Linked DNA regions of Ovis aries. The protein of the gene in region 3 interacts with the protein of the main gene of each other region in a pairwise test. Links are inferred from orthologs where the notes say so. Each region holds a gene or a part of one and is shown on either strand. Other genes may lie near its edges. The genes, in order: EIF4E2, TLE5 and UBXN11.

Region 1 (10,445 bases), about 6.4 Mb from region 3:
TAAACATAGAACAAGTTAAATGTTATATCTGTCATGTAAACTGAGTTTCCTAAAAACATTTTTCTCCCCCTATTATCCTAATACAACCTATAGGGAATTCTAAACAGATTCAAATGACAGGGTAACAAGGAGTCCTTTCAAGATCACTTTTTACCAGCTGGCTTACCAGAGAGCAAATTCTAAGGGCAGAAATCTCATCCCTTAACTCTGCATTTGCCCCCACTCTGGCCCAGCCTCACTTCACAGCCTTGCCCTCAGCTGGCTCTCACACTCACAAATGAGTTGGGTCTCCTGCAGGTCTGGGCTTTACCTTGCACATCAGTGTAGAGGGACATTTCCCAAAAGCAAAGCCTGGCCAGCAATGATGCTGGGTGACGCAGCGCCCCCAGCTGTGATTTAGCTGTGGCTAGAGAAGGGATGGTTGGTCCCTGCCTACCAAGTTCAATATTTAAATACAATGAAATCTAGATGTGGTGGAGTCCCCATGATTTGACCCATTTCTCCTCTAAAATAAATGAATAAAGACAAGTCACCTACCCTCAGCTGTCTGTGCAGAGGGGCCTGGTCAGTCTTCCCAACACTGTGGCCACCGAGTGCAACAGGCCCTGTCTTCCCCCTCCCATCCCAGGCCAGAGGCACAAAAGGACTCAACAGACTATTCCAAAGAGGAATTTCCTCACAAAAGACACTCCTGTTTTATACGGCCCTGTGACCCAACTCTTCTCCTGGTGGTCCCATGATTCTGGGGTGCAAGTCTGGCTGTGTTATGAGGCTGTCCACCTGCAAGGACCCAAATCTCTGAAACCTCAGCCACACACCTAAGACTTGATTTAACCATTTTCCCACTTCTCAGTGGGCCTGTGCACCCTTAAGGGACTGACTGTTAGCAGTAAACAAGGGTGTGAGGCAGCAAGCAGTGTTCCCTCTGCAGCAAAGCGGCTCACCATGCCCCTTGCGCAGTGGCAGCGGTCACCTCTTAGCTCAGCAAGGGGTGCTAGCAAGGAGTGCAGCAGGAACAGGCAACAAGCAGTGTGATGAAGGCAGGCTGGGGAACGAGACACTTGAAATAGGACTTTGGAGACTGGACGGCAACACAGCAAGGGGGAGGGACACCTGCCTGAGACAGCTGAGTACCCCTAGAACACTCTCCTCACCATTTCCAGGACCCCTCATCTCCAGAGTACGTGGGAGAGAGTAAGAGTTGGCTCTTTCCTCCTCACATCCCTTCAATTCTCAAGTCCAAGCAGTTGCTGTTCCTTGGCTCAAACACAGCCACGCCTGTGGGACAGCCACAGGGGAAGGACAAAGCAGAACAGTCCTGGCTTCCATTCAGGTGTGGCAAGGCTCAGAGGGGTCAAGGTCAGTTCGATGCTTTCCAATCAACTCTTACACTGGTAGGTGGCATCAGGCTCAACCTCTGGACCAGCTATATTAGCTGAAATTAAGATCAATACATGTGGACATCACAGCGGAAGGCAAGAGGGAAAGGGCCATAGAACGTCATTCTTTGACAAACACTGAAAACATAGAAAATATGTATTTCCACACATCAACCATCTCCATCTTTCAGGAACTTTAAGTAATCTGGGGTAAGTGATCACAAAAAGCAGCAATGACAGAGCCACCTCCAGGATGCTCAGCCTGTGTGCTAGTCCTGATGTGTGGTCTGTGGGATCCCAGGCCTCATGGAGACAGATGGGCAGTCAGGATGGCACAGCTCAGGGTGTCGCTGCCAAACTGGAGCAGCACAGCCACTTTGGAGAACTCCACGCTATGCCCACAGCCACCTTCACAGATGCTATCAGGCCACCTGGCCTAGTGTGGGCATATGTGGTTTATTTATGGTTTGGGTGGAAGCTCTAAAGAAAACCTAAATTCACATTAAGCTTTGCTAGATTTCTCCATGCAGGTTAGGGGCCTGAAGGCCAAGTTGCAGCACACACATGCCGAGCCTCAAAAACACGTGAGGGGCTGGGCCATGCTGTGGTCAGATGTCCTAAGGGGCAAAGTCACACAGGACAAAGACACGTCCCCACCCCCAGGTCCTGATGCACGACAACCCCAGAGACTGGGGAAAGGGAAGGGCTAGAACTTTGCAAAGTGTCTGCAGGGTGAGCTCAGAGAGGAAGATGAGCTGGCTCCAAGGGGAGAGCAGAAGGGGAAAGGCTGGCAGAGAGCTTGCGGTTGGGAGGCTTTGGCCAGTGAGGAAAGCCCACTTACACAAAGCAAGGAAGCTCTACACACACAGCGGCAAACAGATGGAAGCAAGGCTTTACCTCCAAGCAAGAGATGTCTTTGAAGTAAGACAAATGAAGTCAGCCAAGCGAAGGTCAAGGATCCCCCTTTCCAACCTGATGGACTTTTGAGCCGAATTCTAAATCAGAAATCACTTTGTTCCTGTCCTCCGCATGACTGGTGGAAACTTAAATACCAAAAAAACCGGGGTCTCTTTCTGAGAGATGTCACCTCAGTGTTGGACCTCAGTGGAGATGGAACAAAATACCGTGTGATGTGATACCATGGGCTTATGGAAATGAGGCTGCATTCCCCGGACGGCCCTCCACGGAGCAGTCTGTGCCATTCCTTACTATGGTGACAGTCAGTCTGAAAGGCCACTTCTCTGATGCACCGTAAAGAGCAAGAGCATGAGACAAGCTAGTTTAGCACCATTTATTAAGTGATCTCAGCTGTTGTTGTAGCTGCTGCGTGTCAGCCTGTTCTTAAAACAGAAAATGCTCTTCCAGTTCCTCTTGTCCGGGACGGAAGGATCTTCCAGGTAGCACACCAACAGAACAAGAGACTCCGATGACGCCGGCTTCAATGACGGTGCCATCCAGAGAGGGAGAGGGTCATGGCACATTCAACCGCGGCTTCCAGAGGTTTTGAAAAAGGAGCCTTTGGGAGCCCAGCCTGCCTGGCATTCTAGTGGAAGTGCAAAAGGTTGGCATGTTGGGAGAGAGAGGGAGCCGCGAGGGGAAAGTGGCATCTAGGTGTCAAGGAGGGGTTTCTGGCCCCTGTGGCTGCAGGGCTGGAGGACTAGGCAGACCTCTGATAAAGCAGCAAGCAGCAGACTAAGGCACCAAGCCCCAAGGCTAGCCTAGACTCTATGGACCTGTATACATGGCTACAGAAGTCAGGAAGAGCTGCTTTGGGGTATTTGAAAGGGAGAACAGTGGAGAGGTGGGAGTTGAAAAATATCTCTTTCCCTTTCCTATCCGGGTGAAAAGGTTGCTTTGGGGTGGGGTAGGGGAATGGGGGGCATTTGGGAATACTAAACACAAGAGTCCTAGGAAAAGCAGGTGTGGATCTCTCCAGCCTAGACTGAGTCTGGCTGGAGGGCAGAAACTACTTGTATTTCAGAACAAAGAATAAGAAAAATCTGCCAAGAGAAAAACAGTGCTGACCCAGGGCTGTCAAGGCAAGTCCTCAGGGTCGTAATGGCTAATAACTGCTGGTGACTGTGATGAGCCACACCCAGCCATTTCAGACAGACCACCTCCTATGGCAGCATTCCCAGTTAAAAACTGGAGCTTAGCTGGTATGAGCCAGTTCCACCCACAACATGATCTGTAAATGCATGGGAAAAGATTCCCAAACGATCTGCCTGCTGAGCGCCATCATTGGGCTCATTACTATAATGCGTTTAATAATAGCGTGATGACGTTATTACTAATGATGATGAGAGCAATAATCCTTGACCCTGTGAGAGCATTCTCCATCTGAGGACCTTTAATTACAAACACTGAATAAGCCTCACAAACAACCCTGCTCAGTAAAGCACTCTTACCCCCCACTTTTCCGATGGGATAGGTGAAGCGGAGTGGCAGGTACTTCAAAGGCACGCACTAGTATCTGAGTCAGAGGACAGAACTACACCTATAGGTCCTGACTCCTAGCTGGCTTGCTCTCCCTTCACATGTGAGAAAACTCTTAATAGCCACTCCTCACAACATGTCTATGACACCCTGCGTTTATTTATGATCTTCAGTCACTGAAGGAGCAACCCTGGCCAGTGATTCTCACTTGTGGACGTCCAGCTCCACTCCCCTGAGTCTCAGGTAGACTGCTGAGCTAACTTCCCCTCTGGCATCCTGCTCCCCTTAGAGTCTACTCTCACACACACACTGTTCTGCTTCCACTTCGACTTCAGCTCTGCACACAAGGAAATGGAGTCATCATTCCTGTAAAGAAGTCAGTTTCCCAGGACAAAGAGAGCAGACTGAAGCTAACAAGTTAAAAAGACATGCAAAAGTGGAGTGAGGGACAGACAGGGAGAAGGGCCTCACTGTTCAGTGAAATTATTTTAGAAACTGCAAGAAAAAGATTACTTTGTCTTTCATTTTAAGACAGTGGTTAGTGAACGAAAGACAAGACAGCCTGTGTGAATACAGCAAGCCCAGGTGGTTCAGCTAGGACTCTGCACAAGGGATCTCTCATCCAGAGCACCCAGCGTGCAGGCAGGCAGAGAACCGCACCAGCAAGAACTGCTATGAGTGGACAGAAGCACTGGGGGAAGACTGGTCTGTCCCTTCTCTTTAAGTCAGCCTCCTGGAAGACCGTATTCCTCTGGACCCGACTAAGGACCTACTTTTGCTGAACTCAGGGACACACCCCACACCCGCCCCTCAATCCCCCACAACACATACTTGATGCTGTCGGTGTGGGTTTTGTATTCCATAATGGTGTTGGGAGGTAGGTTAAGCACTCGCCGAAGCGTATCCCGTATGCGGGCCGTGGTGGCTTGATCGCTGGCAGTCTTATTCCATATGGAAATAATGTCCTCCTACAGGAGGGACGACAGAAGCATTCATCAAAGGAAAGTGAGGCAGTGAGAAGAGCAGAGGTAGCACGCGTGAACGCAGCCCTGCCCGCGAGGCGGCTTACCTGGAAGCGGACAGAGACCACAGCCCCGCAGATCTCCTCCCCAACCATGAACTGCTCCCCCAGCATAGCCAAGATGAGATTCTCCCAGCAGCGGGAGGCCAAGCCCTTCCGCAGTCGGATTATCCACTTTCCGCCATTTTTATTTGCATCATCCTGTAAAAAAAAATGTATTAAAAGTTAACATATGGTCTCGTAGCATTAGGGCCAAGGATCCACGATCACTGAGAAGTCTTGCTGTTTTCCAACTATTCAACTCTATAGGAAAATGTGATAGGACTACAGGCAGAAGAAACAAGAAAAAAGAAACACAAGATGGGGATCCTTGCAACCAGCCATTAAAGAAAAACAGCCAAACAGACCCTTTAAACTAATCCTCTTTTGGGAACTCCCTGGCGGTCTAGTGGTTAAGGCTCAGCACTTTCAGTGCCAGGGTCTGGGTTCAATCCCTGGTCGGGGAACGAAGATCCCGCAAGCCACACAGTGTGGCCAAAACCAACCAACCAACCAACCCTCTTTTTTGAAAACTACATTAAAACGAAATAATGTCAGATTTCAAACACAGATCATTCCTTACTTCATTTGCTAAAAGTTTATCAAGTGTCACCATGTCCCCAAATACAGACATGAAGTCACAATCTCTACTCAGATCCAGTCTAGTGAAGCAGACAGACAAGAAAACTAATTACAGTAGTATAGTCTGACAAGTACTCCTGTAACAGAGATACATACAGGAAGTTTATGAAGAACAAGACAGTCAGAAACAACCAGAAAAAGGAAAACATTTCAGCTGGGTTGTAAGGGACACAGGAGCTAGCCAGGTGAAGGGCTCTGTGGGCACTGGGAAGGACACGGCTATGTGCAAACACTGACTGTGAGGCAGAGACCCAAAGAGGAAGATCTAGCTACACTGAAGGGCGGATCTGGAGAGGACAGGTGACAAGTGCTGAAAGGTCATTAGGTGTAAGATCATGTGTGCAACAGAAAACTGCATAAGATTTTTCATTAAGGTGTGTTTGTGTGTGGCAGGGGCGGGGGTTCCCTGGTGACTTAGATGGTAAAGAATCAGCCTGCAATGCAAGAGACCTGGGTTCGATCCCTGGGTCAAGAAGATCCCCTGAAGGAAGGAATGGCTACCCACTCCAGTATTCTTGCCTGGAGAATCCCTGTGGACAGAGGATCCCGGTGGGCTACAGTCCATGGGGTCGCAAAGAGTCAGACAGGATGGAGTGACTAATGACTAAGCACAGCACCGCACGTGTGTGTGTGATCATGTCTGTCTTCTGGAAGAATGCTCTGGCATCAGAACAGAGAAGACGGACTACAGCAAAGAGATCACAGAGCTCAGCTCTGGGTCTCTGGTGACTGCCCCTAAGCTTATTTTTACACACATTAACCATATGTATCCTACGGTAATATATTACACACACACAAAACCAGTCTATGGGAAGAATAATCCAAAAAAAAAAAAATCCTTCAATGTTGCTATAGCACCATGTTAGTGAGAAAACAATCTTTGAAAACCATCCACACAAACAATGGAATCGGGGCTTTTTCCTAGAGTTCCCATTTCCAAAGATATACCAAACTGCTACGCAGCTTTCAAAGAAGACTTTAGCCAACACCTGGCACTAACCCCCAAACCAAACAAAAAACCCCAAAAAACAGAAAACTTCCTCAGAAAAACAGTCTAAGGCTCTCAGTTCTCACCTCCCACATGGGTTTAATTCCTTCTTTGAAGAGATGGAAGTCGCTATGGCCTGTCAGGTCCCCGGGACGCACCATGTGGCTGTAAAACCTCCAGAACTGCTCCACCTGCAGAGAGAGCACAGCAGAGTCAAGAGAGGCACTTTCTTTTTCTTTGAGCGAATGGGAGATTTAAGAGAAGTGCATAACCACGGAAGACACTCTGCTAGAGGCTTTACTTTTTGGAGGACAGATGTTCATTCTGGGGATTGTGGGGGAAGAACAACATGCTGAAGGGAAGAAGACTATCTATTTTGATAAAAGAATAGTGTCATACTGTCAACACAAGAATAAACTCTTTAGGTGAGAAATGCCAGCCTCAGCCAGGAGCCTTAGTTGGTAAAATGTCAATACGCATCCTCCTGTGGAAGCCGCAGGAGAATCACCACATGCTATAGGAGGACTTTGTTTTACACGATAAAAACCACTTAGGTTTGAGGTATATTCAGGGCCACACAACCTCAGCTTGAACCAAATCACTTAAAAAAAAAAAAAAACCGTATTATTAACATTGTGAATTAACTAGTCATTGTGCTCTACAGTACATGCCCATGACTTATTTATAACTGCAAGTTTGGGCACTTCTTGATCAGAGGTTTACTGTCAAAATACAGCATTAGCTACACTGAAGTACATTTTATTTCTATAGAAACAGTTACTGAGCATTAAGTGACAGAATCAACCGCAGGGCTACTCCATACCATGGTGCCCTTGCTAAGGCCCAGATGGTCCAAAAACCAAGCAGGCTTCCTCACTCAGGGTTTAAGTCTCTCTTCTTAGCTATAAAATTTCTCTTTGCTCCTCCTTCACAGTCCTGTTAGAAAATCATACATATTCTCTATAAAATGTATGCTTATTTATATTTATCGCACTATTTGTTTTTCTCACTAGTGATTTGATAAGAAGAAATTACTTCCCTGTATTTTAAGCATGCATTCATGCTAACTCACTGAAGTTAATTCTCTGGTCAATTCTCTGGGATGTTATAGACTATAGCCCACCAGGTTCTTCTGTCCATGGGATTGTCCAGGACAAGAATACTAGCGTGATTGCCATGCCTTCCTCTAGGCAATCTTCCCACCCCAGGCATCAAATTCACATCTCTGACATCTCCTGCATTGGCAGGCGGGTTCTTTACCACTAGCGCCTAGTGGCGCTTCCCGATTGGGAAGCCCTTGATTACTTTCCTATTCCTCTGCAATTCACAGAGAACACCTACAAAGTACCGGAAAGTCAAGTGCACACTTTACAAGTAAAGAAAAAATGTGAAACAGTCTGAAGCAAACAGCTGGTATTTGCCAAGAAACTGCTGAAGAGGCTCTAAATAAACATGAAGCAAGATTCCATAATGTGCAGGTAAAAACAGGTACCATGCAGACAGATTCAGGTCACACCCCCAGATCTGGATAGCAACTGAGGAGAAACCCCAGACTGTGTGAAGTGGCGGTGCCTCTCAATCCTCTAGAGCACAGAAACATGGGCAACATCTCACGTTACAAGGAAATTAGGAACGAAGCCATCTGCAGGACTTCACCTCAGCATTTCACCTCAGCCAGTGCCATGCTTAATGGTACCCAGGGATCTGGGTCAGTGAATGGTCCTATGCATACAACGAGCAATAATCTTTTCCCCACTCTAACACAGTGCAAAGGAGGACCTCTCTGGTGGCTCAGACGGTGAAGCGTCTGTCTACAATGCGGGGGACCCAGGTTCAATCCCTGGGTTGGGAAGATCCCCTGGAAAATCCCATGGACAGAGGAGCCTGGTAATCTACAGCTCATGGGGTTGCAAACAGTTGGACATGACTGAGCGACTTCACTTCACTTCAATTCAACACAGTGCAAAGAAATGAAGCTCACCTTCTAGAAACTGTGGCTCATTGTGAATAAGGACTTGACAGAAGTGGTGGGGACAGAGCATACCAATCACCCCCAATCCTCCAGTGGGGCACTGCTTTATTAACAGTTTGGTCTCCACCAATCTGAGAGCCATTCTCTACAATCTTATAGCCAGAATTCTAAACCCAAATCACAACAGAGATGAAATAATAGGCAGGTTGAGAAATAGTATTAAACCTTTTTTTTTCATTCTCTTAAGGCAACTTTCATTTTTAAAACTTTCAACTGGAACCAAAAAATAAATGTTTAGATTCAGAACATGGAATGCAGAAAAGACTTTAGAAATCATCTCAACTACTTTCTTTGCTTTATAATTGAGAAAACGGTTTCAGAACTTGCCCCAGCTCACAGTCAAGCAGCAGAATGTCCAACGCTTTTTTCATTTCAAGATATAGTTTTCTTAGTCACCTCAAGAACTTCTGAAGTGAAAGTGAAGTCGCTCAGTCATGTCCGACTCTTTGCGACCCCATGGACTAGTAGCCTACCGGCTCCTCCCTCCATGGGCTTCTCCAGGCAAGAGTACTGGAGTGGGTTGCCATTTGCTGTCAAATACTAGGATCGAGGACTAGTGGGAAATACTACTTTAGCATCATTAGTTTCAAAATGTAATTACTTTTCTGTGAGGAATATTGTGGGACACTTCCCAATGCCTTGACTTACATGCATTGGTGAGTATAAAGCAGCATTAACCCAAGATGATGTTGATGATAAAACTGTTCAACTTAGCACATATGTCCAAAGAAAACAAAAGCTCTCCTTGTACAAGCTGGGAACATTCACACATGCTTTCTTTAAGCGGGAAAGAAAAACGCTAGAAATAGTTACAACTATGCTAAAATAACTGAACAAAATCCTGAATGAAAACTGACTCCCCAGAGTTCAGTTTCTTCTCTGATCCTAAGTGCTTAATCAGTTGTTCATAACATAATGGCTGTCATTTTACCTGAAATGTCTAGCAAGCTATCAAAATTTTAATGGATTCAGGAATGTTAGGATGACATGGATAGTTTTTTTAATTCTACTGTTCTCTCTTCCAAGAATTCCTTCATCTTATCACTTGTTCAAATTTTCTGAATTCAATCTTAAACCCATCTCCCTTCAAAAGAGGCTTCTCCAGGCTGAAATGAATCCCTTTACTCTGAACTGCAAGAGCACTCTAGCTATTTATGCACCTCCTAAACTGCCTCCCTATATTAGAAATTCCTGGGCATGTCTTATTTCCCTAAGGGCAAGGTTTTTTAGTCATTTTAGAACCCTATTATGCCCCAAATTCATTCAACAAACTTTTCTTGAACCAAATATGTACCAGTGCACAGTTACTTTTAATAATTCAAAAAAGTCTAAATTTAACAGTAATAAGACAGCACAGGCCAACTAATACAAGATCTTTGCTTGTGGCTGAAATATCAACTCAACATAGTCAGATGATGTGATTATCATTATATATGCATATCTGATGAATAAACAGATAAATAAATACAGCCTGTCTGGTAAACAAACACTTTGAAAAACTGGAGCATCCTGGCATGCATTTTGGTATACAAAGACTGAAAGAACGTAGGCTTTGGAAGGTGGTTTTTACAGCCTACCCAACTGAGTCTCAATACTGGTTCCTCCACTTAATCAAGTTAATTATAACTGACTTGAGACTTCAGAGCAGATACTTAACCCAAGTCTTATTTTTCTCATTTGTAAAATATGGATAACATCACTGGCCTCACAGGGCTATCGTAACGATCAAAGGAAACCATACAGAGTGACTATCACTGTGTGTCCTTCCTCTTTACTAATTTAAAGTTTACTGTCTATTATAGCTTCCTTTTCCAGTGTCTGCATTTTAAACAGAACGAATACCTTAACAACTTCAAGAAAATAACGAATCCTGCATTTGACTCTGCCCACAGATCAATTGTACGAAAC
Region 2 (9,826 bases), on a different chromosome or scaffold from region 3:
GCTTCTCTGGTGGCTCAGACGGTAAAGCGTCTGCCTGCAATGCAGGAGACCCAGGTTCGTTTCCTGGCTCGGGAAGATCCCCTGGAGAAGGAAATGGCAATCCACTCCAGCACTCTTGCCTGGAAAATCCCATGGACAGAGGAGCCTGATAGACTACGGGTCCATGGGGTTGCAAAGAGTAAGACATGACTGAGCGACTTCACTTTCACTTTTTGCCCTTCCTCAGGCCTCAGTTTTCCTGTCTGTACAATGGGGTGAGCGTGTGGGGTGGTCATGCCAAGGTCCCTGATTCCACATCACTGCAGGTGCTTTTTGTTTCTCCTCCAAGTCTAATCTCAGTTCAAGATGCAAACTCCCAGACTCTGGAAGGAGGAAAGCTACATAAATATTTCAGGCAGCAGAGGTACCTGGCCAGCCTGGAATGTGAATGTTTAATGTCACATCCTCATTTACAGGATGCTTTTTTTCCCCGGCTGGCTGGAAAATCTGTTAGCCCTTGACCCTTCCTCAGCCTGGGAGGCCAAATCAGGAGGAGGAGGTGAGCCTGGCTCTGGAGGACTGGGGTGCAGGAGGGTGCTGGGTCACACTCTTGCCACTGGGGCCTGTGGGAGGACATGATTGTATGCACAGGAACATCTTGGCTTAGAGAGAGTCAGGGACCTGCATACCCTGAAGCACAGGGATCCTCGCTGCTGGAAAGACCCTTAAAAAGGGGGAGAGGGTAGAAGAGGGACTCCCAGAAGGCCCTAGGGTCTGGGAGGAGGGTGGGTTAGTCAGAACAGTTGGGTTCACCAGGACCTGTGCCCCTGCAGCCCCCTCTGGGGTCCCTCTGCCCCTCCCCCTTGCCTCCCTCCCCCTCTTCTATTGCTCCTTCGCTCCCCGCCTTCCTCCCCTCCCCCACATCCCCCCTTCTTTCTTTCTCCCTCCTTTCCCTAACCCCCCTCCTTCCTCCTGCCTCTCCCTTCTCTCCCCTTACCCCCCTTCTCTTCATCCTCCCTCTCCCCCTCCTCCTCTCCCCCTTCCTTCCTCCCTCCTCTCCCCCTCCTCCCCTCCACCCTCCCCACCGCCCCCTCCTCCTCTTCCTCCCGCCTCATTAGGCGCGGCCGCGGCGCGGGGCCCATTAGCAGATCAATTAGCCGAGGTCGCCGGCGGCGTGGTCGTTAAGCGCGGGAGGCCGCGGCGGGGAGGGAGCCCTGAAGACCGCACTTCCGCCTGCCCCGGCTTCCCGGCTGCGATTGCTCCCACTCTCCCGCCCCAAGACCCTCTGGTCACGCGCCCCACAGCAGACTCCAGGGCCCTCGCTTTACCGTTCCCAGCCCTACGGGCCCCTTTTTCTTTGGAGCAGAGCCCCCCGCCCCCGCCACGCCCTTCATCTGCCAGCTACATCAGTAATAGTACTAATAATATCAGCTGACTTCTCTTGAGCCCTTGCAGGCTTTCTGCTAATCCTCGGAACAATTTCCCAGAAACAGATCAGACAAGTGACTTCACTTTCCTTTCTGCCTCGGTTTCTATCCATACACCCACTGACCCATTTTGTATTTTCCCAACGCATGTGTCTATCTGGCCACAAGGGTGGGGACTTAAGTCTTTCCTTTTCCTTCCCTGCTGTCCCCAGGGCTCAGAGTAGGAGCTCAGTATGTTTTTGTTTTTTAAAGGAAGAATGAATGAATGCCGGGGTCCATGATAGGATCTTCATGACAACGGTGTGATTATACCCATTTCACAGATAGGGAAAACCAAGACCCAGAGCAGTGTGAAGCTGCTTGCTTGCTCGAATCACCTTGCTGTGAGAGGAAGAGTCAGGATTTAAGCCCAGGCTGGAGACTCTGTGTCCAGAACCATTATGAGATGTATTAGTAATAGCTGTTGTTCCCATCCCAGTTGAAATTTTCATAGTACCAGGGAAACTTGCTTTGTGAAGAAAGGTCAGAAAAATGATTTCTTGGGATTTGGGGGGATTAGAACCCAAGGGAGGGGGGGGGGAAGTCACTGTTCCAGAACAGCATGTGCAATGGTCTCTATTCAAGGAAAGGCAAAATGTTTCAACCTGGCTCTAGCCTGCTGAGGAGGAATAATTAGAATGGTGGGTAGCAGATCCTCAGGGTGTCCTGGTCCTAGAATTTATTCCTAGGGCCACAGAGTTCAGTTCAGTCGCTCAGTCGTGTCCGATTCTTTGCGACCCCATGAATCGCAGCACACCAGGCCTCCCTGTCCATCACCATCTCTCGCAGTTCACTCAGACTCACGTCCATTGAGTCCGTGATGCCATCCAGCCATCTCATCCTCGGTTGTCCCCTTCTCCTCCTGCCCCCAATCCCTCCCAGCATCAGAGTCTTTTCCAATGAGTCAACTCTTCCCATGAGGTGGCCAAAGTACTGGAGTTTCAGCTTTAGCAATCATTCCTTCCAAAGAAATCCCAGGGCTGATCTCCTTCAGAATGGACTGGTTGGATCTCCTTGCAGTCCAAGGGACTCGCAAGAGTCTTCTCCAACACTACAGTTGAAAAGCACCAATTCTTCGGCACTCAGCCTTCTTCACAGTCCAACTCTCACATCCATACATGACCACAGGAAAAACCATACATAGCCTTGACTAGACGGACCTTAGTCGGCAAAGTAATGTCTCTGCTAGGGCCACAGAGGCCAAAGATAATCTAGTCTTTGAAACATTTTTTAAAATTTTGAGAAAAAAAAAAAAAAAGATACCCCCCCTGCCGGGATTTACCTGGCAGTCCAGTGGTTAAGACTCCATACTCCTAATGCAGGGATTCGATCCCCCTGCCTGGGAACTAGATCCTGCCTGCCACATGGCAAAAAGATAAAAATTGTGAAGTAGAACACACAGAAGAGTGCCCAGATTATCATTTGATCACTTATCACAAAATGAATACACTCACGTAATCAGCCCCCAAGCTTCCATCATGGGTAGAAGTCTGCTTGGGTAACCCCATGACATGTGAAACTATATAGGTCACTTGGACCTGTTGTTCTCTATATAAATGGAATCACACAGCATCTTCTCTTTTGTACTTGGCTCTTTCAGTGTTCTGTGTGTGTGCTGCAGGTGTTGAGTGAGGTGGTTTCTGGTTCTTTTTCTGACTGCATAGTATTCCATAGGCAGCTGGTATCACAAATTACCCTTCTGCCCTTTGATGGACAGCTGGTAGTTTCCAGTTTGGGGCAATAATGACTTGTTACAGCTGCTCTGAACACTCTGGTGGCATGCCTGTTGCATGGATCTAACATTGAAGTCCAGGGGCATTGCTGGGTGCCAAGCAGTCTTTTGGAGGCAGATGTTAACAGTTTATATTCCCCAAGTCACAGAGATGAGTTTTGGGGGTTTTTGCTATTGTTGTTGCAGCATGTGGGATCTAGCTTCCCGACCAAGGATTGAACCCTGGCCCCCTGCATTGGGAACACAGAGTCTTAACCACTGGATCACTGGGGAAGTACCTGCATTAACATATGAGGATACATGTTAACCAGGGAGTGGTCTTATTACATTGATTTTTGCATGTGATTTCTCTGTAGTGGGGGAGGCAGTGGGGTGCAGAAGGAGGGTCCCCCTGTCCCCTCTACACCTTCTTTTTCTCTTGAGGGACAGAAGACATTTTCTCTGAAGTTGGCTGTCCATCACTACCCCTTGCCTCATTCCCTGTGCCCTTGGCCACCTGGAAAGCCACTGGATCAGGCAGATAGTTGAGAATTCCCTGGTCTCCTCATGCTCCTAGTCCCTTGAGAGTGAGAGTTCTATGCCAAGAAGCCCTGGCAAAGATCTTGCAAGATGGAAGATACTGCAAAGTCAAAATGACAGCTCCCACTCTCCAACCCGCTCCTTGCCCTCAGCCCTATATCCTGGGTGGGGAGACTGATGTTCTCTTGACTGAAGTGCCAGGTGCCCTAGGGAACCACCTTTCCTCCTGGCTCCCCCTCCCCAGGTGGTCCAGCTTGGATGCAGGGGCGTGAAGGCAGGCTCCAAGTGGTCCTTGGAGAGTTGAGGTCCAGCCAGGAATCAGTTCTCTGATCTGGAAGAAGCCATCTGTAATGCACGCACAGTGACTGCTCATGGTCTTAACATCTGTCTCTTAAGGGTAAAGAATTTCACTTAGGAACCATCTGGCCTGAGGCTCAGAAACCAGTCCCACCACTTATGCTCAGTGACCCCTTAGCTTTTCTGAGTCCTTTTGCCTACTTGTCAAAACAGCTGACCAGACCTCAAACACCTAGGCTTTACTGTGTGACCTCGAGCCTCCATCTGACCATCTCTGGGCTAGGGACTGCGTTCAGGAGCTAAATTATATTTACAAGCTGGACTCAGGACTGTTCATATCCAGTCCCGTAACAGAGGAGGGGCCTGAGGCTTGAAGGAGGCCCCCCTCCTCCCCTGGGAAGGGAGTCACCGCGGGGCAGCCCACAACACAGAGGCAGAAACACAGCAACCAACCTTCTCACGTCTTTATTTGAAAGGCACAGCTAAGCCCACCCTCGATACAGCATTTTCACTTCTCTCCGTAGAGATCAAACGACTGAACACAACAAAAGCTGACAGTCTAAAAGGCTATATACAGACACAGGTGTGGGTGTTGCTTTTTTTTTTTTTTTTAACATTTTTGTCTTTTTCCTTTTTTTAATATCCCTTTTCTTAAAAGACAAGCTAGTATACTGGAAAAGGGGGGGGGAATAAAAACCAAGACAACTTGAGTACCCTCATCTTTATTCGGGAAGGGGAGAAAGGGAGTTCTGAGTTGCTGGCCCCACTGTTGCCCTGGGGCTAAGCTTGCTGTCGGTGGCCCCTCTTTCTTTTGTGGGTGCGGGCATCAGGAACTCATGGAGGGTGAGTGGGTGGGAGGGGGAGACGCGGGGTGCCCAGGGTGGGGAGGGGCAGCTAGCATTGTGTTTGCATGCAGTGCCAGAATGGGAGGCTGGGGTGGGGGCCCCCTCCTGGCGGGCAGACTGTCAGTTACATGTGTGTGAATCAGGGAAATGCAGGGGGTGTTGGACCTCTTGAGGTTTTGCTCCCTTAGGACCTGGCCTCCCCTATGTCTCCAGGCCTCAGCTTGCCTCATCTGTGGTATGAGTGGGTACTGACCCATTCAGTCTACAGGGGAGGAGGAGGCCAGGAATTAGGGGTAGGAGCCAAGCCAGGGTAGGGCACAGAAGCAGGGCGACAGCCCCAGCAGGCAGCTAACATAAATACTACCAGAGTTTGGCCAATCCCAAGCTATCACTGTGTCTCGCGTGCTGAACCTTCCTCTCTCTCAGTGTTTGTCTCCCCTCTGTCCCACCCCCCACCCTCCCCATCCCAGCCGCCCACTAATCCGACTTCTCGCCGTCGTCCTCCTGGTGGGTGTCACCGTCATGCCCGTTTTTGTCTTCCTTGGAGAGGTGGGCCTGGGAGCCCAGCGCTGACAGAGAGAGGAGGCCGGTGCCCGCGCTGACCGCCGGCAGAGAAGGGGGCTGCAGCCCCACAGGCAGGGGGGTCAGGGGCAGGGCCAGAGCCTGCAGCTGAGACAGCTGGTGGGCTTGGAGCTGCTGCTGCAGTACACAAACAGGGGAGCATTAGCCCCCTTGAGCCCACCTGTCCCTCCCCCATCCCCCCACAAGACCCCAGACGTACTCGGATGATGGAGTTCAGCTCAGGAGCAGTGACCTGCTTAGCCCTCTCGATGGCTCCCAAGACCTGCTGCTGGTGCTGGAAAGTGGGGGGTGGGGGATGGAGAGGTGACAGATGATTCACCCCGTCTTGTTGGGATTTGTGGCACAGAGCCCAGAAGTCCCACTCCCATCTGCACTGTTAGAGCCCTCCCTCTCCTCGATTTCCCATCTCTCCCCTCAGGAAACTCCCCTCTCTCCAGGTGATTCCTTTCACAAAGCCTCAGTCTCTTCATCTGGAAAATGGGATACATAGAGATGCACAGAAGGCCCAAAGGGCTTGGTACCAGAATCTTAGGAAACCGTGGACTATGACCAATGCCACATGCAAAGAAGTCAAAGCTTGTTAAGAGCTCAGACCAGGACTGCTAATGGAAGAGATCTGAGGTCTGCTAACCCAAGCTCCTCTTCCTCCGCAGCCGTGAAGGCCCAGTGAATTCTGGCACAGCTGGGGTACGAGTCGAGGTTCGGGGCAATCCCCAGCTTTCCCTGAAAATTTGTCTCTTTGGCTATCAGATGCTAAAATCTGCCAAGCTCCTTTTGTGCCTTGGCTACCAGGGAGCCCCTGCTATGAAAGGAAACCATAAAGCTAGATTTTCAGGGCCCTAAGAATCTCCTTCTCTGGGGCTTCCATGGTGTCCTCCTGGAATTGTCCCTGGGCATCATCCCCTGTGGGACCCTAAGGTACCAGCAGAGTTTAAAAAGGAAATGATGAATTATCAGCGGTAAATCTGGCAGAGAGCAGAGGGGTCTTACGTGACCCAGACGTGTGTGTGCGCGTACAGTGGGCTTCACACCGAGAATCCCAGGAAACAGAAGAGGAAGACTTGGGTGCATAGACCTTTGCGTGTCCATGTGCTTGTGTGTCTATGTTTTGCATCTGTGCATTTGTCTATTGCATCTGTGTCTGTCTGTATGTCTGCCTCTGTGTGCAGAGTGCCTTCCTGTACACCCAGCGGCCAGCAGGACCAGGCAGACGAATCTCAGGAAGGTGAAAGGCAGAAACAAAATTCTTGGTGCAGTGTTCGGCAATGTAGCTGACGTTTTTACGGTGCAATGACTCACGCAGGCTGGGAATTCCACAGCAGGGTGAGGTCCTTCCCTTCACCCCTGGGGTTTCTCCTGCACAGACTGGCTGATGGCTGGGAGGTCCAGAGAAGGCAGTCGTGTGCCCTGGGGCACACAGATGCCTACAGAGGGGTGGGGCTGAGGGAAGTTCAGGGTCTATCTCCTCCCAGCAGACCCCCGGGGGCTCTGCTCACCTCTTGGGACAGGTAGGGCAGGACCTGGGCACATATCCCATTTAGCCTCTTGACGATTTCAGCCTGGAACAGACAGACACTTCAGCCCTGGGCAGCAGCCAGCCAGGGCAGGTGCAGACCAGCCCTGGAAAGCCCAGCGGTTCTGTCTAATCCAAGAGGAGGCCGGCAAGTCCCAGGATCATATCGACTCATCAGGCCCATGGGCACCCGATCAGCAGCAAAAGTGGCCCCGGGGGCTGAGTCTCTGAGGGTAGCTAAGAGCCCAGGACAGAGCGAAATCCAGGCCCAGTGGCTTGGGGTCTGGGTGGCCCTGGAAAGATGCCCGATGCCTCACAGGTAGTGAGCATTCCGTGAGAGGGAGGGAGGAAGAGGTCGGGGCAGCTGGCATCAGAATTCTCTAACACACCTGAGATAGGGTTTGGAGGGTGGGTTGGCAGGTCATATCACCCCCCTCCCCCAGGGCTGTCACAAAAGAGAGACAATGGAGTGAGGGTGGCAGGTCCTGGGAAAGCCTCTGCCCTCCCCCTCAGGGAGAGCAACCTCCCAGGGAGGCCTGAGAAAGAACAGAAGTGGGGGGGCTCCGGAGGTAACAGGATACCAAGGCAGTCTTGGTTCTCAGCCAAGGGGTGGCGGGTTCCTACCTGCCTGGGCGGGGCAGGGGGGCGGAGGAGGGGGGAAGGGGGCATACCTGCTTGTGCATCTCGATGTTCAAGCCATAGGACATCTCGTAGTACTGTGTAGGGGGGAGACAGAAATGGGGGTGGGTGAAGGATGTGAGGTTCCAGAGACAAAAGACACAGGGGAAGTGACAGAGAGAGACAAAGAGGGGGAGAAAGAGAGAGGTAGGAGGAGGGGAGGGCAGGCGAGAGAGATGGAGTCGGAAGCGGGGAGACACCCACACCTGGAGCTGGGGCCCAGGTGCCTGGTGAGGATGCTAGGGACGCCAGTGGGGCCCTGAATGCCCCATTTCTGGAATAATGACCTCAACCCCTACACACACACACACACACACACACACGCACGCACGCACGCACACACACACGCACACACACACAGGCACACACACACTCCAAGGCTCCTAATCTTTTATCTTTATGTGTCTTGTCTGCGGGTGGCCCCGGACTCCAGGGAAGTTTGTCTTCCTGGGTATAAATAATCGAGGATAAACAAATCCTGTTGGGTCTGCCTTTGGGGCCAGCGCCCCCCCTCCTCATGCCCCACATCTGACCCTGCACCTCCCCTGCTCTAAACCTTCCTATGACTCCCCATCACCCCCCAGGGAAGATAGGGGGAGAAAGCCAGGTTTGTGTGGTCTCCCCTTCTCTGCCCAGCTGGCTCCTATCCATTCATCAGGACCCCAGCTGCAGTGCCTCCTTCTCCATGCAGTCTTTCTCCAAACAGGAGCATACCCTTCTGGAGTGCCCCAGCCCCATCCCTCTGAATCCAGAGGTTCCTTGTCCAGCTCTGCCTCCCCCATGGCCTGGGGGAAGTGGGCTCTGGGCTGGGCTTAGGCAGGGGTTTTGATGCAGAAATCACCACCTGGTGCATATGAAGCGAAGCAAGTGATTCCAGCAGTGTGCAGGGGCAGGGTCTCCAATGTCAGGCCCAAGAAGGAAGTGTCACCCCCTCCCTCCCTTCCACCCACCCACCTCAAAAGAGTGTCAGCCTCCTGCCTGGGGAAGGGGGCCCTCCAGGAGTCCTCCTCCAAGCTTGGACTAGGAGGGGTTAAGCCTGGGATGCTTAGACAGTGGGGGTGGGGAGGGGAGGGATCAACAACCCCCCTCTAACCCCAGTTCCTGGCTTTCACAGCCACTGGCTCCTCCGCTGCCAAGGACAGCCAGGGACCTGGCAGGCCCAGGCCGCAACCCGGTGGCTTGGCACCTCGGCCACTGCCTGGGCCGGCAGCCAGGCCAACAAGATTAACTCAGCCCGGCCAGGGGCTGGCTGAGCGGAGAGCAGACCCTGACTTCTCGCACATCCCAGAGGAGATGGCCAGGGTTCAGACAGCAGCTGCCAGTGCTGGAGGGGGACCTGGGGTCCTCTGGCCCTGCCCACCAGACCCCCGGGCTGGCTTACCATCACGTAATGACGCTGCATTTCTGACTTCTCGCTGGCCAGCTTGTCACATTCGAGTTTCAGACTGAAGAAGAAGAGGGGGAGGGCCAGGGCTGGGATGATGTCCCCCTCATTGTGCAAGGGAGCCCCAAACTTTGGTGGGGGTCAGAGAGAAGAGGGGGGAAGGGGACCCAAAGGTGCCTTAGCTGGAAACTGGGGATGATGAAACCCACCTTGAAGATGTGGGGGTGGAGAAAGCAATGAAAATAATAAAAACAGAAGTCAGAGCAAATATCCTGACTGTAGGTCAGACAGGGATTCAAAGAAACTTTTTCCTATCATGAAATCCAACGAGGTCAGGGCTGTTAACGTCAGTCTCCTTCATAAAAATGATGCAATGGATGCTCAGAGAGGTTGAGTGAACAGGCTCAAGGTCACACAGCCAGGAAGCTGGCTTCAAAGGCCATACTCCCACCCACTGGGCAAAACTCTCCAGCAAAGAAGGAATAAACAGACATTGCTGAGAGGTTACAAGGGCCCAGAGCCCACTGGCAGGGCTCTGGACTGAATTCAGTAAGGAATCTTCAAAGGCCCCCAGCCCATCTTGTGACCTCTGATTTCCATGGTTGGGGGAGGGGTATAAATTTCTATCACTGGATAATAGAGCTGGTGATCCCCCTCCTCTCTTGGGTTGCCCCAGCAAGGATGAGCTTTGGATATTTCTCAAAGGCCCCCAAGGGGGTGTCAGGGTGACAGGTAGAGAGCTGAGGCCACAAACTCAACTAGATAAACTGGGTCCAAAGTTCAGTCCCGCCACTCTGATGCTGTGTGACTCTGGGCAAACGCCTCTACCTC
Region 3 (10,445 bases):
GAGTCCCAGGCTCTAGAATGTTTGGATCAGCCTGTTTGCCTAATACAGATACCCCAGCTCACCTGTCAGCTGGCCTGCTGCCCCAGGGTCTGCAGGGGGTGGAAGCCAACAGCTGTTGTTGAGTCACTAAGTCGTATCTGACTCTTTTGTGACCCCCATGGACTGTAGCCCTCCAGGCTCCTCGGTCCATGGCATTTCCCCAAGCAAGAAGACGGGAGTGGGTTGCCGTTTCCCTCTCCAGGGGATCAGACAGCCTAAGAAACCGGCCAGAGCAACAGGGCCAGCCAGAGACCAGCTTCAGGGACCTGAGGACCCTTGGGGCAGGGGCAAGCTGGCCCCTGGGGACAAGGCTCTGGGGAGAAGAAGGGGAAAAGCTGTGGCAGTCCCTGGAGAAAAAAGCTGCTAGAAATGAGAAACATGTTCCTCTGGCAGGAGAGCTAAATTGAGGCCCCTCCCTGTTGAAGAATCGAAAGGCAGAAGAAAGAGGACACAAACGGAAAGCTCGTGGCCGGGTGGCTTTCACAGGCGACTTCAGAGCAACCGTACTCTGAGCAAAAACAAACAACAGAGGGGAGGTGGGGGCTGCTCTCTTTTTGAGGGAAGAGGCTGGAATCCACAGAGCCAGGTCCAGAAACCAGCTGTCTGGTCTGACCTCTTCCGCAAAGGAGCAGGGAGGCCCCACTGCCCAGGAGGAAGTCTGGCTTCCAACAAGTCAGCAGGGCCACATGAGGCCTGAGCCGGCTCACCACATGGGGTGGGGTGGGATGGGGGGTGTGTCTGTGTGTGTATGCGTGCGCAGTGCTGGCAGGCCTTTGGTCCTAGACCCTAGGGAGGGACATTCTTATAGCTTCTGGCAGTTGCCTACCAGGTCTCACCTCTCATCGGGGCAGAGGTCCTTGGAGACACTCAGCACTCTGCATAGGGTTCAGCTCCTGGCATGGCCTGGGCACCATACAGTCCCTCAGCTTTGCCATGTCCCAAATGGACTGGGCATCTTCCCCACAGCCATGCTCCCCAGGGTCACCCCAGGTTCCTCCCACCCTCTCCCTGATGTACATTCAATTGTCAAGAGCATGGATTCTCTTCCTAAATCTCTCTGCTCTGCCCATCCTCACCAGCCCCACTCGTATGCTGGGCATCATATTATCTCCCAGCCTGGATGACTGTAACCACCTCCCAATGGGCTCTCAGCCTTAAGTCTTGCCCTTTCCCTCAATAGTCTTCAGACTTAAGTCTCTCCATTTTCTTATCTGTAAAATGGAATCATTCCTGGCGCATGTCAAGGCTATTTATAAAAATGCTTTAAGTTAGTTAAGTGTGGTAAAAATGGGAAATGATACTTTTGCAAAAAGGGTGAAGGGGTTGTACCCCGAGACTTAGGGGGATCTGCCCAAAGTGCAGAAGGTGGGACTCTCAGGTTTTCAGCCTGGGTTTTTAACCAGCAGTAAACTTATGAAATTAAGACAGGGCAGCTGTCTTCCAGATGGTCCCGAGGGCCAAGATCATGCTCCCAAGAGGCTGCCGCTGCCTTCTGACGGCGGAAAACAATGAGAGCTCCCATTTGTGGACTGACAACCACAAGGTCAGTGCCAGATGCCACATGCAACTCACTGGCTCCTAATTAACTCCACGGGGAAGAACGAAAGCGAAAGGCGCTCAGTCGCGTCTGACTCTTTGCAACCCCACGGACTGTATGTAGCCCGCCAGGCTCCTCTGTCCATGGGATTTCCCAGGCAAGAATGCTGGAGTGGGTAGCAGTTCCCTACCCCAGCCCCATCTACTGATGAGGAACTGGAGGCTCAGAGAATGGAACTTGAGTATCCAAATCACACCGGGGCTAGGTGGGAGGGCGGAGACGAGAACCCACCTCACATCCTGGTCACACCCAGAAGAAGTGTGACCCACTCCACAGCCTGCAGAACCACCTTCCAGGCAATGATGGAAAAATGGACCCAGCTTTCAGAACCCAGCCAGCTCAATGGCCCCAAATCTCTGGAGTGCATCCCTCTAGATATTAGCGGTCGAGTTAAAAAGTGGTGGCATTCCACAGAAGTGGGTGGATTCCAATGGTTTGCTACAAATCAAGCTGGAGAGGCAGTCTAAAGAGGTGGCTGAGCCCTTGAACTGAGGGGTGGCTTCCAAAGGAGGGGGAATCGCTTCTAAGGGCCACAGCTTTTGAATGGGTGACATTTTGTAAACTATGGTGCCTGAGACAAGGGAGGCCTTGTTAACATTTTGCATCTCTGGGTCCTTGGAGCCTTTGGCAACTTGAGCAAGCAGAGTCCGGGGTTAGGTGGTCAGTGTTGGAGGCTGGGGCCTCTCCCTCCTGCCCCCGTGACAGCAGCAAGGCAGGGGAGGCAGGGCGCGAATAAGCAGGTGTCCCGACAGCTGCGGGCAATCTGGAGCTGTTGGCGTTTCCTTTGCAGGAGGGGCCAGGGTGGACCCCAACTCTACCTGGCTTCCAGAACTTCTTGGCCGTCATCCAGTCCCTCTCGCCATCCTCCGAATCCTCCTGGTCCGTGGGCTCGCCCACCCACTGCAGGCCGTAGTCACCGAGGAACCGCTGAGAGGAGAGAAGCCGGAGGTGTCAGGGGGCGCTCGCTGTCAGCTCAGCCCCTTCCCAGGGAACAGGTGGCATTCGTGCAGCCCCCCACTTCAGGCCTCGGCCGATGGGGCCGTGGGGGGATGGGGCCAGGGCTCTGGGCCACTGCCTTCTGTGGCTTTGGGAGGCCCCTTCTCCTAGAGCCTGAGGCTTCTCCTTGTAAAATGGGAGTTGTCAGATGAAGCTTGTGAGGATGACTGACGTGTCATGTCCTTAGCACAGACCCCGGCACAAGTAGGAACTCGCTGAAGGCAGCCACAGTGGCTGCGGGGAGCCGTGTGGGTCTGGCCCGACCAGGAGGAGGGGCAGCAATGCCTCGCTCTGCAGGCTCAGACGTATGCCCACCCCCGTGTGGCCTCTCCAGGGCTGGCCTCACAATCCTTTGCCGCAGGAGGGCTTCTGAGTCGTCCATACTTCCTGGTGCCGCTTCCTCATCCCTACGCCCTTCCTTCACCCACTCCCGCCGGGCCTCCGGCTCCACGGCTCACTGCAACTCCTTGCAGATGGCCACCTGCCCAGCGCCTAACCCAACGAGCACGCTTCTGTGTTCATCTCTTGCGACATGTTCTTCCTTTTCAGTTTCAGATTTCTAGCCATTTAAAAGACCTCCCACAGGCATCTCAGACTCAAAATGAACTGGCCCAGTCATGACTCCCAAACGTCATTCCCTCTCAGCCTCCTGGTCTCGGTCAGTGGTGCTGGCTTCCTCCATCACCTGATCCTCTCCGTGCCCAACCCCCAGGACCCCCAAGGCCTGTGGCACCAGTGTCAAAGCAGGCTTGGGTCCTCCATCCGCTCTGCTCCCTCTCCCCTGGGCCAAGCCACACCCTCTTCCTCCTGGATCGCCCAAACTGCACGTCCACCTACCTCCCCCGGCCCACTCCTCCACCTCAAACCTGCCTATGGTCTCCCACACTCTGGGACCCTGTTCCCCACTGCGCCTAGCTCCAGGACGTGGTCCCTGTGGCCTCTCCCCCTCCTCCCTTTCACTCCCCACAGCTCCCAGCCACAAGCCCAAGTCGACGTGGCAGGAAGAGGTGGAGGCTTTCCTCTCTTCGGCTTGGATCCTCTTTTCCCTGATAACTCGCCTCATCCTCTGTATCTCTCGCCCAACGTCACCCCTCAGAGTGGCCCAAACCCCGGCTAGTCTCTGTTGCATCACCCCTTGAACTATTTCAGCGTATTCTGTACTTGTGGCTCTTCCTACATACTTGCATATATGTCTGTCCCCTCTAGACTGTCAGCGCCCCGAGGGCAGGGCACATAGGAAAGACTTTGGATGAGTTTCCTAAATTAAGGGAGCAATGGATGCGTGAACAGCGTGAAGGTGGGAGCCCCAGTGCCCTCTGCCCTGGGTGGGCAGCCCTCAGCCCTGTGGCGGTGGCGCAGCGAAGCTGCACGGCTGCGGGCGGTCTCCCAGCAGGCTTCTCGGGGAGCAGGTGCGCACCCACAGCCCCAGGTAGGAACAGGCCTGGGTGCAAAGGGCCCTCGGCTGCAGCTGCGGCTTGGGAGTTTGCATCTGTGCTCGGATTAGGCTGGGGCTTTGGAGAGCAACTCTGTGGAGAGGAGACCTCAGGAAGAGCATCTGACAGGGCTGGTGAGGGAGCTGGGGCGTGGGGGCGGCGCTGAGGGAGCATGTGTGCCCAGGACCCTCCTTGGAGCCTAGGGTCCCTCCTGTTCAAGCCTTGCTGTATGAATGGGGGCAAGACAGCTGACACCGGGTGAGTGCCATGCTACCTCCAGAGGCAGGGAATGGCTGTGAGCGACACAACGCGCGCACACGGCCAGGCCCCGCGCCGGGTCGTGGCCGTGCCGCACCCAACAGGAGAAAATGGCCCTTCCCTCCCTCCCTCATGGTGTCTGCGGTCCCCCAGAGAAGAGGTGTGGTTCTCAGAAAGCCTAGGAGGGAGAACCTGCCCAGGTCAGAGTTCAAGGGGTCCCCTAGGGAAGGGCCCCCTGCCTCAACCTGAGACTTTGAGAGGATGAGTGAAAACTCACCAGGGGAAGGTGGGAAAAACAACATTTCAGGTGGAAGGAACGGCATTGACCAAGGTCCTGAGGCGGGAAAGAACTTGACAAAGCCACAGAGCCCGAGGCAGGCCCCCGCCGAGGCCGAGGCCAGAGGGGAGTGGTTTGAGACGAAAGTGAGGAAGCGGGGAGGGGCCCTGTGTGGGGTGTGTGCGGAGGGGACCCCGGAGGAGCAGGCTCTGACCCTGGGTCTGGGGGCAGACAGCCCTGGGCACGCCACCTCCCTCACCTCCATCTCCCCAACCTGCTGCTGCAGCTTCGCGCACACCGTCTCCAGCTCCTCCTGCCGCTGCAGGCTCACCTTGCCTTGGGGTGGGGAGACGGGAGGGGTTCCACGGCCCCTGCACCCAGGCTGCCAGGCTGCTTGCTTCTGGCTTTGACCAGAGCTTTGGCCTGAGGCTTACCTAGAGAAGCTGCCCCTCTGAAAACTCAAGGGATTCCCCTGAGAACCACCTCTTGGCCCGTTCCCCTGACCTTGAAGAGGGGACGCCCGGGCTCTCAGGAGGCCACCAACCTCCATCCCCCCACCCCCCTGCCCCAGAGCAAGGCTCCTGGGGGCGGCATTTCCTCCAGGCTTTTCTGAACTCAGGGGTGGGCTAGGGCTGTGCCCAGGGGATGCAGTCCCTCACAGGAGGGCACCGTCCTGGGTGTCACTGCTCCTCTCTGGGCTCCATTGTCCAGACCCCCCCCCCACACACACACACACAGGACTCAGCCGGATGCTCTGGAGCCCTGATGCCCAGGGGTCACCAGCCCCAGGGGAGGTGCAGGGGTGAGCTGGCCAGCCAGCAGAGAGGGCCTCTTACCCTGGTGCTTCTCAAGGGTCTCCACCATCTCTTCCAGGGCCTGTATCTTCCGAGTCTGCAGCAAGGAGGTGGGAGGGGAGCGGGCCTGGTGGCTTCCAGAGCCCATGGGAGCCCCTTCTGGATGGGAAGAGCCCGCTTGAAGCCCCTGCCCCACCCTGGGTGTAGCTACCACTTCTGTACCTCAGATGAGCCCTTTTGTGACTCCACCGAGGTGAGGGAAGGGTGTGGGGCACCCCTAGGTGCCCAGCACTCAGCAGCCACTGCTGCCACCCAAACTGAGGGCGAAGGCCTGGCTCAGAGGTGAAGACCTCGAGGCTTCGTGCTCTGGCCCCCGAGGTGGGAGGTCTGGTCAGGGAGATGGTTCGAGAACCCATCGTCTCTGGCCTACTGCAAGAGTAGCCTCACTGGCCTCCCCAGCCCGGGCCCTTCCACCCCTGGGACCAGACCCTGGCCCTCTGCCCGCTGGGGCCCCACCTTGGACAGTATCTCGTCAGTCTGGGCCTTCACCTGCCGCTCCAGATCCCGCAGTTTCCGTGTCAGGGTGGCCACCAACTCCGAGTCATTGCACACGGGGACTGCCAACCAGACAAGGTCCTTGAACCCGGCCTAGAGCTGAGGCTGATGGGGTGGGGGTCCAGGGGAGCGGGGAGAGATCCCCAAACATGGAAAGAGGCGTGCTAACAGCAGCTGCCACCTGTACTATAGCCCGCCAGGCTCCTCTGTCCGTGGGATTCTCCAGGCAAGAATACTGGAGTGGGTTACCATGCCCTTCTCCAGGGGAGCTTCCCAACCCAGGGATGAAACCAGGGTCTCCTGCATTGCAGGCAGATGCTTTACCTTTGGAGCCACCAGGGAAGCCCCTAGACAACGGGGATTGTCCTAAACACTTTTCGTGTATCAGCTTTTCTGAGGAAATGAGCTGCTTCGGGAATCTGAGGCACAGAGATTCAGTAATGCACTCAAGACGTACAAAGAAGTGGTACAACATCCACGTCACATTACAAACAGTGTCGAAAAGTTCACCCTCAGCTGAATCACATGTCTAATCTCACCCCTAATTCACAGGCAGTACAGTGGACAGAGGAGCAAGTTAACAGCATGGAGACAAGTCACAATGGGGCCCATCCTGCAGGGCAGGTGGTCTGGACTCTTCAAAAAGCATCGTTTAAAAGAGGCAGGGACTCTGCTCTGCAGAAGTACAACAGTCAGATGTATGACATGACTCTCAGGTAGAACCCAAATCAGTAAAAAAAAAAAAAAAAGGCTCTGGGAGAAATTTTGGAACACTGGGATGTCACAGTTACTGAGCTGTTCACATTCTGAGGTGTGATCACAGCCTTGTGGTTATGTATTCCCTTCCTCCTAGAAGATGCACAGGGAAGTACTTAGAGCTGAACTGTCACGATATCTGTGATTGATTTCTAAATGGTTCATCTAAAAAAATACACTTGTGTTCATCCAGACGTGTATATGGAGAGAAAGCAAGCATGGCAAAATGTCACTTATTATCAAATACAGAAGGAGGATGTGTGAGCGCCTGCTGTACTATTTCAACTGTTTTGTTGGCTGACAATGTTTTAAATTAGGGACTTCCCTGGTGGCCCCATGGTTAAGAATCTGCCATGCAATACAGGGTTCCATCCCTGGTCAGGGAACTAAGATCCCACGTGTCACAGTACAACTAAGCCCACGGGCTGCAACTACTGAGCCTGAGGTGCCAGCCACAGCCTTCCCTGGGGCTTGAACAGACCTCCTGAGCTAAGGGCTGGGCCCATGTGTGGCTGCATGCCAAGCCAAGCTCTGAACAGGTCTGGGGCGCAGGCACGTGCCCATAGTCAGCCAGGAGCAGAAGCAGCTGCCTCTGACACAGCAGGCAGGAAGAGAGGCCATGCCTCTCGCGGCCTCGCTCACTGGGGTCTTTCCTGCTGCCAGGGACTCAGACCCCTTTGGGCGTCTGCACTCACCTTGCCTGCCCACAGGGGCACCTATGCCACCATAGCAGGAAGGGACAGAGATCCTTTCTTCTGAGCCATGCGCGCCATTCAGCATGTCCACCTCATCTTCTGCAGACAGGGATGCCGGGGTCACCGCTCTGCAGCTGAGGCCCTGGGCCCTGGCCAAGATGAAGCAGCCTGTACTCTGTCCCTCACCCTCCTCCCTGCCCCCCGTGTATGGGGAGAGAAAACTTGGGGTGCTGGAGAGCAAGGATCCAACCAGAACAGGCCTCTTCTTGTTCTCCCAGCCCAGCTCCTGGGGGGCCCCAAGGGGCCAAAGCCTGCATCAGAGTGGGGGCTAGAGCGCGGTTGGGATGCAAAGGTTTGAGCCTGCAGGAGGCAAGGCAACCATATTCGGACTGGGCTTCAAGGAGAAAAGGCTGTAACGGGCTGGAAGTCACTGTCGTGGGCGGGGAGGCGGGCAGGGGTCTGGCGCCCTCACGGCCCACCCCACAGTGAGCAGAGGGATTCCAGCGTTAGTCAGGACATCCCTGTTCAGGGTGCGGAGTCTCCTAACCCGAGAGCCACGGGCAGCACTATCACAGGCCAGCCATCCTGACTGACAAGGCAGTCCACCATGCTCTTTCTCTCCATCCGCCCAAATGCAAGGGCGTGAGGAGGGCCCGTGGGCCACAGCCTACACTTACCATTTCCGTAGATTTTTAGCCCCCGCCTCCTGGGAACGGGCAGGAAGGAGAAGGAAGACAGACAAGTTAGGACCCCCTGGACTGCCATGGGGTGGGGTGGGGGGGCTTTGGCACCAGGTCCACCCCCCACCAAGCCTAAAAAAGATGCCTCGTGAGGACATCCACCCCCAAATCCCATCCTGGCCTGGGGGTGAGCCAAGGCGCAGGCGTCAGGGTATCTGACTCCTCCCGACGGAGACAGACGGGCAACAGCTGAAGGGCAGAGCCTTGGGGAGAGGACCACAAGAGTCCCCAAGCCCAGGAGCCCAGCCCCAGCTCTGCTCTGAAATGGCTGCAGGACCCCAGGCCTGCCACTTAACCTCTCTGGACCCCCTTGGCCATGACACGGATGACTCAAAGTGGGGTTCAGGAGAACAAGGAAAGGGGTAAAAAAAGATGCTTCGCAAAGGTGAAAGCGACAGAAAGATGGCTAGGATCCCCTCCACGGAGAGCCCAGCATGTAACACGGCGGGCCCAGAACGTCTGGGCCATCAGTGTCTGCAGAACCAATTCATGCACTACAAATAAACGCAAGGATGCCGAGCTACCCCACAGCCCACACCTCACTGGAGGCTGTGCTTAGACGCATGGACAGCCTCCCAGAAGAAAGGACGAGAAGGAAGAGGTGGCCAGGGAAAGATACATCACTTATTACTTCCCCAAGACGCTAGGAGTCAATCTCTGAGTTCATGTGATGGCCGGGAGGAGGCAGGGGCATGGGCACAAAGACCCCAAGAGGCTGGCTCCTTACCCAGGATTCACAGGTTCTGACTGTAGAGGCACTCTCCGGGTCTTGCCAAGGGAGGCCAAAGGTGAGCTCATATTTCTACTTCTAGATTCTAGCCGTCAGGAATCCCCTGAGAAGAAAGAAATCAGCCCTTGGGGACAGCCACTGAGGACCAGGAAGCGGCCTGAAACCTGCCCTTCCCTGCCTGCTTTTCCGAGGAGAGGGCACTGTCCAGGGAGCGGTGCCCCTCATGTCTTCCCACGGCCCCTGCAGAAGTTTGTGGAGGCAACCTGGCCTCAGGATCCCATGCTTCATGTCCACCTGCTCCGCTGGATATCTAGCTCTCTGCTCTGCTCCTGGAGGCCTCTGGCCTAGCAGTACCTGAGAAATAGGCAATGGGGTGGGATGAGGGCAGAGGCTGGCCACTCGACCAGGACTTTCCCAGACCTCCATCTCGGGCACAAGACCACCCAGGTGGCCAGTGGCTTTTGTCCATCTATCAAGGACCTGGTCCTCACAAAGTTGATCATCACAAAGCCCGGTGTCCCTCCCCACCTCCAACGTCTCAGACCCAGAGGGGGGCAGCCCCAAGGCAGGGTTCTACCAGGACACTGCACATGGCAGGGAGTCGAGAGCCCAGGCTCTGCGCAGGCTCTACCATCCGCCAGTACAGCCTGCACCTCACTTTCCTGTAGCATAAAGTGGGGATGGTAACAGTACCAGCCCGGCAGGCGTAACACACATAAATCACCTCGCCCAGGGCCACGCACTAAAGGAATTACTCAAAACTGTAAATTGTGACTGCTGATGTCATCAGCACACAGAAGGCCCTCATAAACGCTTGTTTCCCTTCCTTTCCTCTTCCTTTAGGAAGGATGAATGAACATCAGGGATGCAATTAAAGGTCACTATTCAGTGAATTAAGTGTCCAATATCTAGACATCTTAGTCAGACGCCCTCCACCAGATCCTGAATCATTCCTTAGTTCCACTTTGGAAATGTGTGGCACTGGCCTTCACCCTGCCCCTGAATTTTCCCGTGAAGCAGGGAAGGGGACCTGCATCACCAGGCGCCAGCTTCCTTGGTCCTGACTCTGGAATTTGGGATTCATGTCCCGCCCTCACTCAGAGGTGCCCTCCAAAGACCAGGCCCAGAGTCTCCTCACCCCCATCACCCAGCATCCAGCCTCCCCAATCTGCCCCCAGCCTACCTAGTTCCTGCCATCTTGCGCGGGCATCCTTGCGGTTTGTGTGGCCAAGTGTGATAGCCCCTGTGGCTCCCTGCACCAGTCTCCACACACTGCCAGAGGGATTTTCTTACACACAAAGCTGACAGGTCGCTTCCCTGCTAAATGCTCCCAATGGCTCCTTCTCATCCACAGAAAAAAAAAAAAAAAATTCAAAATTCCAGACTTCCTTGCTGGGAGCTGACCGTGGCACAGATCATAAACTCCTTACTGCAAAATTCAGACTTAAGTTGAAGAAACTAGGGAAAACCACTAGACCATTCAGGTATGACCTAAATCAAATCCTTATGATTATTCAGTGGAAGTGACAAACAGATTCAAGGGATTAGATATGATAGACAGAGTTCCTGAAAAAC

What was found.
Region 1: the proteins of UBXN11 (region 3) and EIF4E2 interact in binary tests that used the Homo sapiens proteins (3 or more experiments, as listed by UniProt). The two-hybrid records come from large-scale screens. The link is inferred for Ovis aries from reciprocal best matches to the Homo sapiens genes UBXN11 and EIF4E2.
Region 2: the proteins of UBXN11 (region 3) and TLE5 interact in binary tests that used the Homo sapiens proteins (3 or more experiments, as listed by UniProt). The two-hybrid records come from large-scale screens. The link is inferred for Ovis aries from reciprocal best matches to the Homo sapiens genes UBXN11 and TLE5.

What each region holds. Positions count from the first base shown.
Region 1 is NC_056055.1:234,170,389-234,180,833, reverse strand, and holds part of EIF4E2 (eukaryotic translation initiation factor 4E type 2), read right to left. Parts: intron 6,697-10,445; coding exon 6,592-6,696; intron 5,038-6,591; coding exon 4,885-5,037; intron 4,784-4,884; coding exon 4,647-4,783; intron 2,923-4,646; coding exon of another isoform or gene 2,850-2,922; exon of another isoform or gene 2,657-2,849; intron 1-2,656. UniProt on the Homo sapiens protein: Recognizes and binds the 7-methylguanosine-containing mRNA cap during an early step in the initiation. Acts as a repressor of translation initiation.
Region 2 is NC_056058.1:18,528,270-18,538,095, reverse strand, and holds the end of TLE5 (TLE family member 5), read right to left. Parts: intron 9,057-9,826; coding exon 8,993-9,056; intron 7,650-8,992; coding exon 7,605-7,649; intron 6,980-7,604; coding exon 6,917-6,979; intron 5,695-6,916; coding exon 5,620-5,694; intron 5,538-5,619; coding exon 5,316-5,537; 3' UTR 4,443-5,315; downstream 1-4,442. UniProt on the Homo sapiens protein: Transcriptional corepressor. Acts as a dominant repressor towards other family members. Inhibits NF-kappa-B-regulated gene expression. May be required for the initiation and maintenance of the differentiated state.
Region 3 is NC_056055.1:240,546,394-240,556,838, reverse strand, and holds part of UBXN11 (UBX domain-containing protein 11), read right to left. Parts: intron 10,211-10,445; 5' UTR 10,054-10,210; intron 8,974-10,053; 5' UTR 8,939-8,973; coding exon 8,868-8,938; intron 8,107-8,867; coding exon 8,078-8,106; exon of another isoform or gene 7,500-8,077; coding exon 7,401-7,499; intron 7,395-7,400; exon of another isoform or gene 6,425-7,394; coding exon of another isoform or gene 6,274-6,424; intron 6,055-6,273; exon of another isoform or gene 6,012-6,054; coding exon 5,911-6,011; intron 5,554-5,910; coding exon of another isoform or gene 5,492-5,553; coding exon 5,437-5,491; intron 4,937-5,436; coding exon 4,860-4,936; intron 2,564-4,859; coding exon 2,455-2,563; intron 1-2,454. UniProt on the Homo sapiens protein: May be involved in the reorganization of actin cytoskeleton mediated by RND1, RND2 and RND3. Promotes RHOA activation mediated by GNA12 and GNA13.